3 linked regions of the Xenopus tropicalis genome follow. The protein of the gene in region 1 purifies or fractionates together with the protein of each later gene. This does not show direct contact. Links are inferred from orthologs where the notes say so. Each region holds a gene or a part of one and is shown on either strand. Other genes may lie near its edges. The genes, in order: champ1, cbx1 and cbx3.

What was found.
Region 2: the proteins of champ1 (region 1) and cbx1 purify together in Homo sapiens (affinity purification with mass spectrometry; 6 studies listed by BioGRID and IntAct, with this or other methods). This does not show direct contact. The link is inferred for Xenopus tropicalis from reciprocal best matches to the Homo sapiens genes CHAMP1 and CBX1.
Region 3: the proteins of champ1 (region 1) and cbx3 purify together in Homo sapiens (affinity purification with mass spectrometry; 6 studies listed by BioGRID and IntAct, with this or other methods). This does not show direct contact. The link is inferred for Xenopus tropicalis from reciprocal best matches to the Homo sapiens genes CHAMP1 and CBX3.

Annotation. Positions count from the first base shown.
Region 1 is NC_030678.2:111,848,019-111,852,031, reverse strand, and holds the start of champ1 (chromosome alignment-maintaining phosphoprotein 1), read right to left. Parts: upstream 2,805-4,013; 5' UTR 2,676-2,804; intron 1-2,675. UniProt on the Homo sapiens protein: Required for proper alignment of chromosomes at metaphase and their accurate segregation during mitosis. Involved in the maintenance of spindle microtubules attachment to the kinetochore during sister chromatid biorientation.
Region 2 is NC_030686.2:11,721,914-11,726,152, forward strand, and holds the start of cbx1 (chromobox protein homolog 1), read right to left. Parts: upstream 2,816-4,239; 5' UTR 2,694-2,815; intron 674-2,693; 5' UTR 644-673; coding exon 504-643; intron 1-503. UniProt on the Homo sapiens protein: Component of heterochromatin. Recognizes and binds histone H3 tails methylated at 'Lys-9', leading to epigenetic repression. Interaction with lamin B receptor (LBR) can contribute to the association of the heterochromatin with the inner nuclear membrane.
Region 3 is NC_030682.2:41,663,398-41,667,582, reverse strand, and holds the start of cbx3 (chromobox protein homolog 3), read right to left. Parts: upstream 2,821-4,185; 5' UTR 2,775-2,820; intron 1,927-2,774; exon of another isoform or gene 1,903-1,926; coding exon of another isoform or gene 1,853-1,902; intron 1-1,852.

The sequences.
Region 1 (4,013 bases):
ACAATAATTCATTACAATAAAAATAATCTCACATAAATACATAAACCTTGTATTAAAAAATATAAATAATTACAATACATAAAGTGAAAATCAGAAATTCAATTGAAAAGCTAAAATGGAGAAATGTGACTAAACCTATCAGTTCAATGGAGGATGAAATAGGAACAATATATTAATTCATATGAGGATAGGTTAAAAAAAACTAAACGTTGGCATTACTAAAAATACATATACATAAGATCAGTTGGTTAAAAGGTAGGCAAAAGAACTACCAAATGAATCAGATATACTGGATAAATCTGTAACAGACTGCTACACTAAGCACAGGAGGGGATGGATTACTACATAAATGCCCAGTCTATAATTAAGTGAAAAGTTGCGACTTCATAACTGCCTAATCGAAGGATACAGCAATAATATGGGGAAAAAAAGGCCCCAGTTGGGGAGCTCACTCCCAAACGGACACCCAATTAGGAAGGAAACTGTCCAATAAGATTATAAGGGCAAACACTCGTGTATGCACCCTAACATGTGGCGCTTGCAATGTGAGGTATCACCAAAGGCTACAATATAAGTACAGGCACCTCCTAGACCTTAACCTGGTGCTGAATAGATCCCCCACACCCTACAGGTGTTAGCTAGAATACCCTCTGTCCCGGCCGGGAACTTACTGTGGGTCTAAACACTGGGAGGATCGAGCTCCTTCACACGGCACAGCACGGATTCCCTTCTTTCGGTGACGTCACCGATGTGAGCCGAATGCTTAGCTACGGGTCCTCCCAGGTCTCAAGGTCCACACAAATTTATATATATCAATATATGGCGTGCACCAATGAAGTGGGGGGGGGTTACAAGAGAATGACTTGTTAATTAATGCTACTTGCATTAATTAACAGAGGGAATGGTGTACCCTCTGTTAAAAAAGTAAGGATATTAGAATTTGCCAAGGAGTTCCACAACCATATAGAGACAAGAGCCTGTGGACAAAAGGTATGGCGTATGTAATACACATCCCACATCACCAAAACTGATTCAAACTCATATCCTTAGGCACTGTTAGAAGTTTTTTTCAGATTATTTTACAGGCTGTTGTCTTTTATAAGCCTACTGTGTATAGTATTACAAGAAAACATTGTCAGAAAAAAATCACAATCATCATTAACGGGGGAAAATACCCTATTTCTATGTAGGGTTCCATTTTAATGTATTTGATCCATAAAACACTGTGCAAATAAATATGATGCCTTACTGTGTGCAATTTTATATGCCTTGTCTTCATATATATATATATATAAAAGTAACAATAGGGCTGCCAAATAAAATACCGCACCCCTGCCCCAACATGCAACCAAAACTATGCTTCCAGGGTTCCTCCTAAGTGACCAGCCCACAATGCATGTAGTCCAAGTACCATACCTGGGGGATACAGGATACAGAGCAAGTAAATTCACAGATTATCCCGCATGCCAGGACACTGCACTTTGCACGTGCACAGATAACTGCATGCCATACAGGAATTGTGGCTTTTTTGAGCATTTTTTCCTGATTTAATCTTACCTCCACTTTTCTAATGAAAACAAATCATCAGGTTATTATAAAAAACAAAGTACTTTACTATTGCATGAATTATACTGTAATGCACCTGTAAAGGTAGCCATACACGCACAGATAATATCATACGAAACCTCGTTTCGTACGATATTCGGTGCGTGTATGGTATGTTGGCGAGTCGACCGATATCGCAGGAAGCTGCTGATATCGGACGACTTGCCGATTGGACCAGTTTGAAAATTTTGATCAGGCGCCATAGAAGGCGCCTGACCAAAATCTCCCTTCAGCGCTGAATCGGCAGAAGGAGGTAGAAATCCTATTGTTTCTACCTCCTTACCTGCCGATTCAGCCCTGAATGGTGTGTGGCGGATCTGACGATGTTTCGTGCAACCGATGGTCAGATCGCCACGCCACTCTTTATTACATATAATATACATTTTTGTAATCGAGCTTTATTTGGAGTCTGTCACATGTTTTCAAACAATGAATAAATGGGATAATGTACTTGTATACACACTGTGTACAGTCCTTATGTTTTGAGAAAATAAAACTACTGTGTCACATGAGAATGACAATGGTTTGCATCTCTCGGCACTGAGGCACATGAGAATGGCAGGTAGGATCACCACAGAAGGGGACATCTCTATTACATTGAGATGCATTGCAGATACATTGCAAATCTGTACCAGGCCCTTATGGAGACGAAAAAACATTGCTAAAAAGGTAATCACTACTTTCCTGTCCTTTCTTTTACCCCATTTTACTAGTATTTTAGATTTTATGTCCCTATTTTCTGTGCTTAATTACAAACCAGTGTCTAAGGATGTAATTACTAATAGAAAACATCTCTCTAACCCAAGCAGCTAGGTTTTAGCCCGATAGAATCGCATTCCCACCCACCCAGTCCTGTGCAGCTCTACGGGGCTAAAACCTCCGTGACAAAAAGAGCATTACTGAAAGCTGTGTAAGGGAAAGAACATGCATGCATATTGCACTCTAAGCTCCTGCCCCTTACGGAGTCTGCAGCTCTCTAAGCGAAAGGGGTCAAACTAGCCCAAATAAGTGCAGACTGCCCAACACACACACCTATTTTCCTATAACAACAGTCCAAGATCGCTACTTACACCTACCACAAAGCTGGTAACTGCAAGCTCCTGGCCGCCTCTCTTGCGGAAAATCCCGACGCCAAATCCCGTCTCATCACGCGAGACTGGCATCACGACTTCACGTAAGCGCAGTGACGCATCACGTAGCCGCATTGCGCAAGTGACTAGCGGAGACTGCGTAACTTTGACACCGTGGTCGTACCGCCTTCTTTTGTTAGAAAACAAATAATAGAAAAACAAACTTTTGTTTCATGTTGGTTGTTCGCCATGCACTCCCAATATAGCCATTTATATTTTTGCTTAGAGTTACGCTTTTTGCTAGGGAACAAAAGAAATATATATATATATTTTATTTATTTCTGGTTGCCATCTGTACATGGTGCTGTCGGAGCCTCTTCTGTTAATTTGACAGAAAAAGAAAACTTTATTTTTGTGCAAACTGGGGGTGGTTGAAATGAAGTCACTTTTTTTAGTTTAATTATACTTTGATGGTTCCACACACACAATGGGCAGAATTTTCACAATTCAGGAACAAAACAACTTCAAGGCACGAATAAGAAACTGACCAAGTAAACCACCTTCAGTACCATGCTGGCCCAGTTTCCACTGTTTCAGGAATGACTTGGCCCACACTGGCTGTCGCCAAGTTACCTAGACATTGATATTTTGAGTTCTGCTCCAGTATTTAAAGACAAGGACAGTATTTTTCACAATTTGGGACAATGTATGGCCTTTAGGAGAGTCTAATGGGTACCTACAGTAATCTTTTTAGTCTTTTTTGTGGTGGTGTCAGGAGCTTCCAAGACATTTGTTTCCTGCCAGAAGTGCCTGCCGTCATCAGAGCCTTTTTACCAATTTGACCAAGAAGGAAAGAGTTTTTATGCAAACTAGAGTCAGATGAAATGATGAAATCTTAGGTAAAAAGACTCCTTTTGGCACATAGAGGTGAAGAGCCCCCAGTGGTTGTGCATTAATATGACACAGATCTTTATACTGAGGCCTTGGGGGTAACACATCTTCCTCAGGCGAATGATGGGAACAAGATTTCCATAAAGAAAGTTTAGTAAAATTGTTAACTGAGGGCCCAACAGCAACACATGTATAGGCCCAACACTCCTCAAGCAAATGCTGCAATTGCATACCTAAAATACCTGCTATCGTATAAATGGTGTGCAGGATAGGGCAATTATTAGGGCAGGGTAGAATAGATTTTTTACTTTAAAAATGTTAGTGTTACTTTTCCTTTAAGTGGCTCACTTTTGCAAGGGGATGGAAGATTTAAACTATGAGGTGAGACTGTCGAGGTTGAGGTTGTTTTCTCTGGAAAAGAGGCGCTTGCGAGGGGACATGATTACT
Region 2 (4,239 bases), on another chromosome or scaffold:
GCAACTGAAGAACCAACCAGCAGCCACAGTATATAGATATCAGTTGGGATCAATAACGGGGAGCAAAAAAGTACAATGAGCAGACGCTGGTTAAAATCCCTCATATTCAGCTGTAAAAAAAAGTTATTAACCCATGAGTAAAGCCTTAGGCGTTTTGGGCTTCCCTCACACTCAATGGCAGGCTGAGTCACTTTTTAAGGCGAAATAAAAAACAAAAAAAATTAGCCAATCGGTGGATACAAGATTTCCTTGGGGGGGGGGGGGGGAGGAGTCTCAGTTTAACTTTTGATGTAAGTTGTCATAATGAACACTAATATTTGTGTTTACTTCCCCTTTTGTTTTTTTCCTGATCGGTTGGATATCAGGTTTCCAGATAAGAGACCCCATACCTGTAATATTTTACAGTAATACAGACGCGGCGTGCAGGTTTATGAACGCTCCCCTTACCGGTTCAATGTGCATTAGCAGCGCATAAGGACAAGAAACCATGGAGCAGCACTTACTCAGAGAAACCTTTCCATTTCAGGAGATACTCCACTTTCCCTTTCACCACCCGTCGGTCCAGGACCTTCTCCACCACGTACTCCTCCTCCTCCTCGTCGACAACCTCTTCCATCTTTTTCTTGTTCTGCTTCTTTCCCATGGAGGTCGCCAGTTTATCTGCTTAATGGAGCTGCATGGGAAGAAAGAGGAGAACTTGGTGACTTATAATATCCTTATGCTTTACATAAGGGGGTACATAATTCCCTATATGTGTATGTAGTTTGCATTACTGTGTGGGGTTACATGTTTGAATCCAGCCAGGGCACACATCCGCATGAAATATGTATGTTCTCCTTATATCTGCGTGGCTCTCCCACACTCCAAAACCATACAGGCAGGTTATTCGGCTTCTAATAAAAGCGACCCTAGTGCGTGTACCTTAGATTGTAAGCTCTACTGTCAGGGACTGATGGTAGTGATGAACCCCCAACACCCAGTCATAATTTTCAGCTGCCGGCAGGAAATAACAAAACCGAAATATACAAAATAAATAATAAAGGTCAAGCGAAAAGTTGTTCATAGGTCTATCTACAACACACTAAGAGTTCATGCAAACATCCCCTTTAATGGCCTGAGCCGATGTGTGAGAGATACGACACAGCTGCAGATGTCACAGACTGTCTCGGATTCACATAACTGATCCCTATTGCAGCGCCGAGACAGCGCAGATTAGACTGCAAGCTCTGGGAGACCCATAAAGGAGACGGTATAATGTAGCCTGGGACTACAGACAAGATTTTACTGAAGGCTCCGGCTTGACTCCTACAGCCCTGCTGTCCAGGCGGAGGGTCCCCAGGGCCAGATGTTTCCCTCCATGGGATTGTTATGGCCTCAGGATCTATTACAGCAGTGGTCCCCAACCTTTTTTGCACCACGGACCGGTTTCAAGCAAGACAATTTTTCCAAGGACCGGGGATGGGGGGGTGTGGCGCAACTAGTGCATACTATGCACGTTATTATTATTATTATTATTATTATTATTGCATACAGCTTAATAAAGTACTTTGGTCCTTGTCGTGATCAGTAGAAATCTTCCTGGGCTCCGCATAGCTATTGTCATGGCTGTGTAACGCATCAGGGAGTTGGGATCACGGGTAATTGGGACCAGAGGTGGCCCGGTTCAGCACAGCCCATGGACCGGTGGTTGGGGACCCCTGTATTACAGGGCTCCACAGACTATTCATTCAAAATAATCCAGACCCTAAACGTGCAATACATTTGGTAGCCATGCAGACACAGTGCACAGAATGAATAGGAGTAGCCTTGAGTGAAGCTGTGCCACGTGCCAGGCTGCCTGGCTTAGAGCTAACACTCCCCCCCCAGCCTGGCATTGCCCCCCCCCGCCTGGCTCTGTTACACACATGCTATATGCATTTCACCTCAGGAACTTGCTCCTTTGCCCCCATTCTGCAGCCTCTTCTATTTCTGCACTTTGCTACTGAGTGAGCGACTCCCCACACAATGTACAAAGCTAATTATGGCTCCCAAAGAATGAAAGCTCTGCAGCCAAATAATACCAGCTGTGTGGGAGTGTTTGCCCCTCACATTCCCCTGGCCGGAGGTTACATCACGTTGGCTACTGCAGCCCTGCGAGTGTGGGGCCCCACAGCCAACATTCCCTCTGCTTTTCTATGGGCCAGACGTGCAGAATTCAGGTTTTGTGGCCTGAGGTGCAATGTGCGCACACAGGGCCTTGGGTGCATCTGGGGGATAATATGCCAACCTTACCCCCTGGGGATAGGAGCCACCATGTGACTGGGCACTATGCATAAAGTTTGGGAAGAACATTGTACCAAGAGTGGGCCACTGACTACAACTCCCAGCATCCCCCACAAAACCCTGGGAAACAAAGCTACATCCATAGTGCAAACATGGACTTGTGAAATCCCTGTAACAAGTTATACCCTGTGCTGGGAATGCTGGGAAGTGTAGTTTTCAGAGCAGTTGGAATGCTACAGGTTGATGGAGGCAAATCACTAGTGAATTAAGTTGCAAGAACTTGTTTGTGTGCGAATAACAGAACGTTGCTGGCTGCATGTTACGCACTACAAATCCCAGCATGCTCAGCGGCCCGTTTCCCAGAGGAATGGGAGGGGGCAGTCCGGCAGTAGGGAGAGAAGGCGCACATGCGGGGATCAGGCCGCCCTTACCCGCCGCTTGCTTGGGCTCCCCGGTGCCTGGGGCCTGGGATCGGTCCGGCTGCGCGGCTGGAGCTCGCTTTCTTCTCGGCTATTGGAGCGGGTTCCGATCCCCTGAATGAACAGAACAAATTGATTCCTGTGCGTCCCGATCCGGTTCGGTTCTAAGGATGTGGCGCCTCCAAACAAAAGAAGCAGCGCTGCCGCCAAGGGATCGGGGGAGTGCGCATGCGCGGGGGGAGAGCCGCCTAGCATGGCGGGAAGTGTAGTTCTTTCCCTGGGAGCCATGTACGGGCCGAGTGGGCAGTGTTTAATGAGCTTATCTGTTGCTGGCTGTGTGGGGCCATGATAGTGGCTAGTAGGCGTGAAGGCTGCTGGCTGTGTGGGGCCATGTTAGTGGCTAGTAGGCGTGAAGGCTGCTGGCTGTGTGGGGCCATGTTAGTGGCTAGTAGGCGTGAAGGCTGCTGGCTGTGTGGGGCCATGTTAGTGGCTAGTAGGCGTGAAGGCTGCTGCCTGGTCCGGCACAGATTTAGCCCCTCAGTGTGGAGCCCGGGAATCACTTCACTGTTTTTATAGTCGCTGCACAGTTAAAGCTGGAATGGGAAGGGGTCGGTAGGTATGGCACTGGGGTGAGAGACTGGGGGGGTGGGCAGGTATGGCACTGGGGTGAGAGACTGGGGGGGTGGGCAGGTATGGCACTGGGGTGAGAGACTGGGGGGGTGGGCAGGTATGGCACTGGGGTGAGAGACTGGGGGGGTGGGCAGGTATGGCACTGGGGTGAGAGACTGGGGGGGTGGGTAGGTATGGCACTGGGGTGAGAGACTGGGGGGGTGGGCAGGTATGGCACTGGGGTGAGAGACTGGGGGGGTGGGCAGGTATGGCACTGGAGTGTGAGACTGGGGGGTGGGTAGGTATGGCACTGGAGTGTGAGACTGGGGGGGGTGGGTAGGTATGGCACTGGGGGTGAGAGACTGGGGGGGTGGGTAGGTATGGCACTGGGGTGAGAGACTGGGGGGGGTGGGTAGGTATGGCACTGGAGTGTGAGACTGGGGGGTGGGTAGGTATGGCACTGGAGTGTGAGACTGGGGGGTGGGTAGGTATGGCACTGGGGTGAGAGACTGGGGGGGGGGTAGGTATGGTACTGGGGTGAGAGACTGGGGGGGGTGGGTAGGTATGGCACTGGAGTGTGAGACTGGGGGGTGGGTAGGTATGGCACTGGAGTGTGAGACTGGGGGGTGGGCAGGTATGGCACTGGGGTGAGAGACTGGGGGGGGGGGTAGGTATGGTACTGGGGTGAGAGACTGGGGGGGTGGGCAGGTATGGCACTGGAGTGTGAGACTGGGGGGTGGGTAGGTATGGCACTGGAGTGTGAGACTGGGGGGGGTGGGTAGGTATGGCACTGGGGTGAGAGACTGGGGGGGTGGGTAGGTATGGCACTGGGGTGAGAGACTGGGGGGGGTGGGTAGGTATGGCACTGGAGTGTGAGACTGGGGGGTGGGTAGATATGGCACTGGGGTGAGAGACTGGGGGGGGGGGTAGGTATGGTACTGGGGTGAGA
Region 3 (4,185 bases), on another chromosome or scaffold:
GACATGCAGGGCAATTAGTTGGTACAATTGAGATTTCTTGCACAAAACAAAAGCAGATATTTTCATTTGGGTTCCCTTTCATTCAAAGTTCCCGTCCCTACAATCAAGGTCAAAACAAATCAGTTGCCCACTAAGATTCCTTGCCCAGCTGCAGCCTGTAAGACAGAGATAAGGAACAGCAGTAGAACGCAGATCTGTTTTGACCTTAATTATACAGCCAGGAAGTAGAATGCAACTTTGTTTTAGATTGTGCCAGTTTACTACAAGAAATCACAAGAATGTTTTTCTTAAATAAGATAGAAGTGCATTTGGCACAAGCCCTATTCACTGGGGTGCACTACCCCTTTAAGAGACATTTAGATATCAGAAACATATGTTACAAGACATGCATTATTAATACAGTAGTTATCAATATAAACCAATAATTGTATATGCAATTAGTACTCTCCATTTCAAACTTTCCTGTTAACATTAGTGTAAAATGGCACTTCAGACTGTTGGTCACATGAGAGAATTTCCAGCCTCCTGCTCCCTGATTACATACAGTACAAGTTCTTAGCACAGTACACACCGTGCCAGCACTGCCCACTGATAGCTGCTATGCTTGATCCTACCTAACCTAATAGAAACACTCCTCTTCTGTAAAGGAACAGCCCCTAATACTGTGAGCACCATTCCAAAGACAATATGCACCACTTTTTCACAGCCTTATCAAAATTATCCCAACACAAACTGTATTATGCTTACAATTAGGTGCTAGCTCCCTGCTATGTAGTAAGTTATAATGTTAAAGCACAAGGGTGCCAATAAGTTAGAAAATTATTTCTTTGGCCAACTATTCTCACAAAAAGTGCCAGACTTTACCCAAGGATTCCTAGCACAAACTTGCACATGTCCAGTTTAATAAAAATTTTCCAATGGTAGTATACCGTGCTTGTGCTAGTCTGTTTACACTAGGAATTCCAGGGAAAAGTGCAGTATTGTGGTATCACTGCTACTTAAAGAGCTCTAGGCTGGCACATTTTTATTCCAGAGATAAAAATAAAAACCTAACCTCTGTCAATTAGGTTTTCTTGAGATTTAATTTCACTGGAAACTATGGGGTATTATCCCAAACCTTAAGAGACTGGTTTTTCATTTGATTATTAGAACAGGTTCAGCACTCAAAAGGCAATTCATTGCTCCAGAAAAAGGACTAATCTAAACACCTCTAAGTGACTACCTGAAGATTCTGGCCTGTTTAGTGCAAAGAAGAATAAAACAATATAAATAATTAACACAGGGAAAAATGAAGTTCAATGAGACATTGGATAAGTGGAAAAACCCCTAATTTTGTAGGCACTTATGAATACTATATGGTGCTGGTGTCACTTCGGGCTAAAAATTAATCCTATCTGTAAAAAGGTCTCCTTTACTGGAGCTCCATGTAGATCCTATCAGTCTTCTGTGCTTCAAATGAAGGGCGGGAGTATCCTAACAGTTGAATTCACAAGCAAAGACATACTTCAGTTCCCTATTGGGTCCGCCTAGCGTAGGTTCCTATCCTACAGTGCAGTGTGCCAAGAGCCAGTGGTTCCCCTGCACATCCAGAGATTTCAGCCTGCAGGAAGTGGAACAGATGGGCGGGACTAGAGGGGTCTGTGTATAATGTTTCAATAAATCAGTCTGAAACAACTATTTTAAAGCACAATCCTTCTATATTTAAAGTATAATTCACTAGTACATTCTTAATTTGTTATGATAAGTCTCCTTTCAGCACACGCCCTTATCACTAAGCCAATCCTATAAACACGGGATACACTGTCCCTTGAAATGAGAAAGCGGTCTGCCGTGAGGCGAAATTCTGCCATACCAGAAACAAAGGCAGGAATTTTCTGCTGTGACTGCCGTGCGAGACTCCATAACCCCCCCGCCCCCCCATACAACATTAGCGTGAAAGCAGCTCTGCGCAACGTGCATCCAGATAAAGTTTTACGCCGCTTCACCTCCCAAGCCGGAAAGCAAAAGCATCCCCCACCCCCTCCAACACGCATGCGTACATGTGAATGAGCCGCAACATGATTGATTAACCGAATGTATTCCGGAGGGAGATGAGGAACACACATTCACGGAAACTAGAGATTAGACTGTCGCAGGGGAAACTGCATGGCACAGTTGGAAACCATTATAACCAGCGGCACCGAGCTTTCCCTATGATTGTCCAGCCCGGGTAGCCATTGCCCTGTATACCCTTTACTTTCCCTACTAACCACCTAGAGGCCACGAACCTTCGCGCCTGCGCACCCCCCGTACCGAACAGCATTAGCTTCATTGTAAAGAAACCCAGTGATACAGAGAAACTCAGGGGGTATCCATCCTAGCACTATGTGAGAGTTACTGTGCGCTGCACCGGGCATGGGAATACTGGCGGAATACCACTAACACTGCTAGCGTCATATAAGTGCTAGGGGGCCGCTCTTCATTCGGCAAGATATATACGTGAAATAGAAAGTTGTGACTTTTTCTGCCGTTGAACTACAGCTCCCAACAAGCCCAGGTAGCGGTGAGCAGCAATTGAAGACAAGGCAGTATGTTTGCAGAACGGCCTCCCCGCCCTTACACAATGCCTCCCACCCATTGGTCTGTGCTGCTACTCTGCAGCAGGCCTCCGCTTCTCTCCCAAACTAGCAGCAATTTTCCCGCCTCCCCAACCCTGCCGGGCCGTGCTTCTCCCATGCTGCTCCTCTCCCTCCTCATGCCCCCGGGTACAACATTCCTCTCTCTCATCCCCGTACCTCACTCTCTTTGGATAACCAGCACCCGGTGACTCCTGCTCCGTCCCCCTCACACCGAGAAACGCTCTCCAAGCCGCGGCTGCCTGCAGCTCCGATGTGCGCAGGAGTGGGAGGGCCCGAGTGACGCGCAGAACAATGGGCCCTACCAACACACTGGCGGGGAATTTACTGGCGCGAACAGTAACTCTTTCAATACCATGGGTCTAAGGGAAGCGGCACCCTGACAAAATAGGACAGCCTGCCTTGAGGGCAGTTAATGTCAATTCCGGTACAATCTACACGGGTGTAGTTGAAGAGCCCATGAAGTCAGGGTCTTAATGATAAAAGAAAACCCGAATTATATATTTAATAGTAGTGAGTCACGTGTTGAAAGGTAGGTCCCAGGCTCCGCCCGCCTCTGTCGCTCCTCGTGTAGGTGTCTGACTGATACATGTCGTTTTGTTTGCAAATAATAAAAAAAAAAAAAAAATGCTTGAAATATGTGGCATTGACACATATTTCACTTCACTAGGCCGCCATTTTCGTGTATTTTACGAAGGCACTCCCCTGTCTGTCCAGTGTATGCGTTTCATCATCTGGACGTTCTAGGTATACACTGGCAGCTGAGCAGTCACATCACCTACACAGAAAATATTTATGCTTACAAGTGCAGGGCAGTCTGCCAAGTGCAATTTCAGGCAAACTTTGCTGTAAATTAGATGCAATTGCGCTAAAAAAAATTCTGTCCATTTAATATGAGAGTGTCAGGAACCTATTCTCTAGATGCAAGTGCACTGCACCTATCCAGGGGTGTTTCTTGCCCCTGAGCCACCTGAGGAGGTTCCTACCATGCCTTTACAGCACGGGAGGGGGTCCAGGCATGCCACATCGCTAGTGTAGAGAGTGCCATGGCAATCTCTGCTATAGTGCAGCAAAATTTCCCTTTTAAAAACCAGAAATTTGGCTCCTAAAGTTGTCAGGAGCGGCTATTTGCCTCCCCTGGTAACTTCGGGGGTGCTGCTGCCTGAGGCGAGTTTTTAAACTCGCTTCACAGTAACTGTGCCCCTGCACCTATCGCCTCAGACGGCAGAGCCTGGCAAGTTACCAGGGGCAGCAAAAGTCACTCCTGGTAACTTAAAGGAGAAGGAAAGGCAAAGTCACTTGGGGGTGCCAAAATGTTGGGCACCCCCAAGTTACTTAAATCGCCTACCTTTTATCCCTGACTGGTGCCACTGTTCGGAGAGAACAGCACCAGCCCGAGGTAGATGCAGCGCTTCCTCCTTACATCTTCGCATGCGCAGTAGAGTGAAAAGCCGAACTTTAACAGAGAAGTCGCTTTTTCACTCTACTGAGCATGCGCCTGTCATGTAGTACTTGCAAAACGAAACCGGAAGGAGGAAACGCTCACTACAGGTACCCTTGGCCGTTGCTC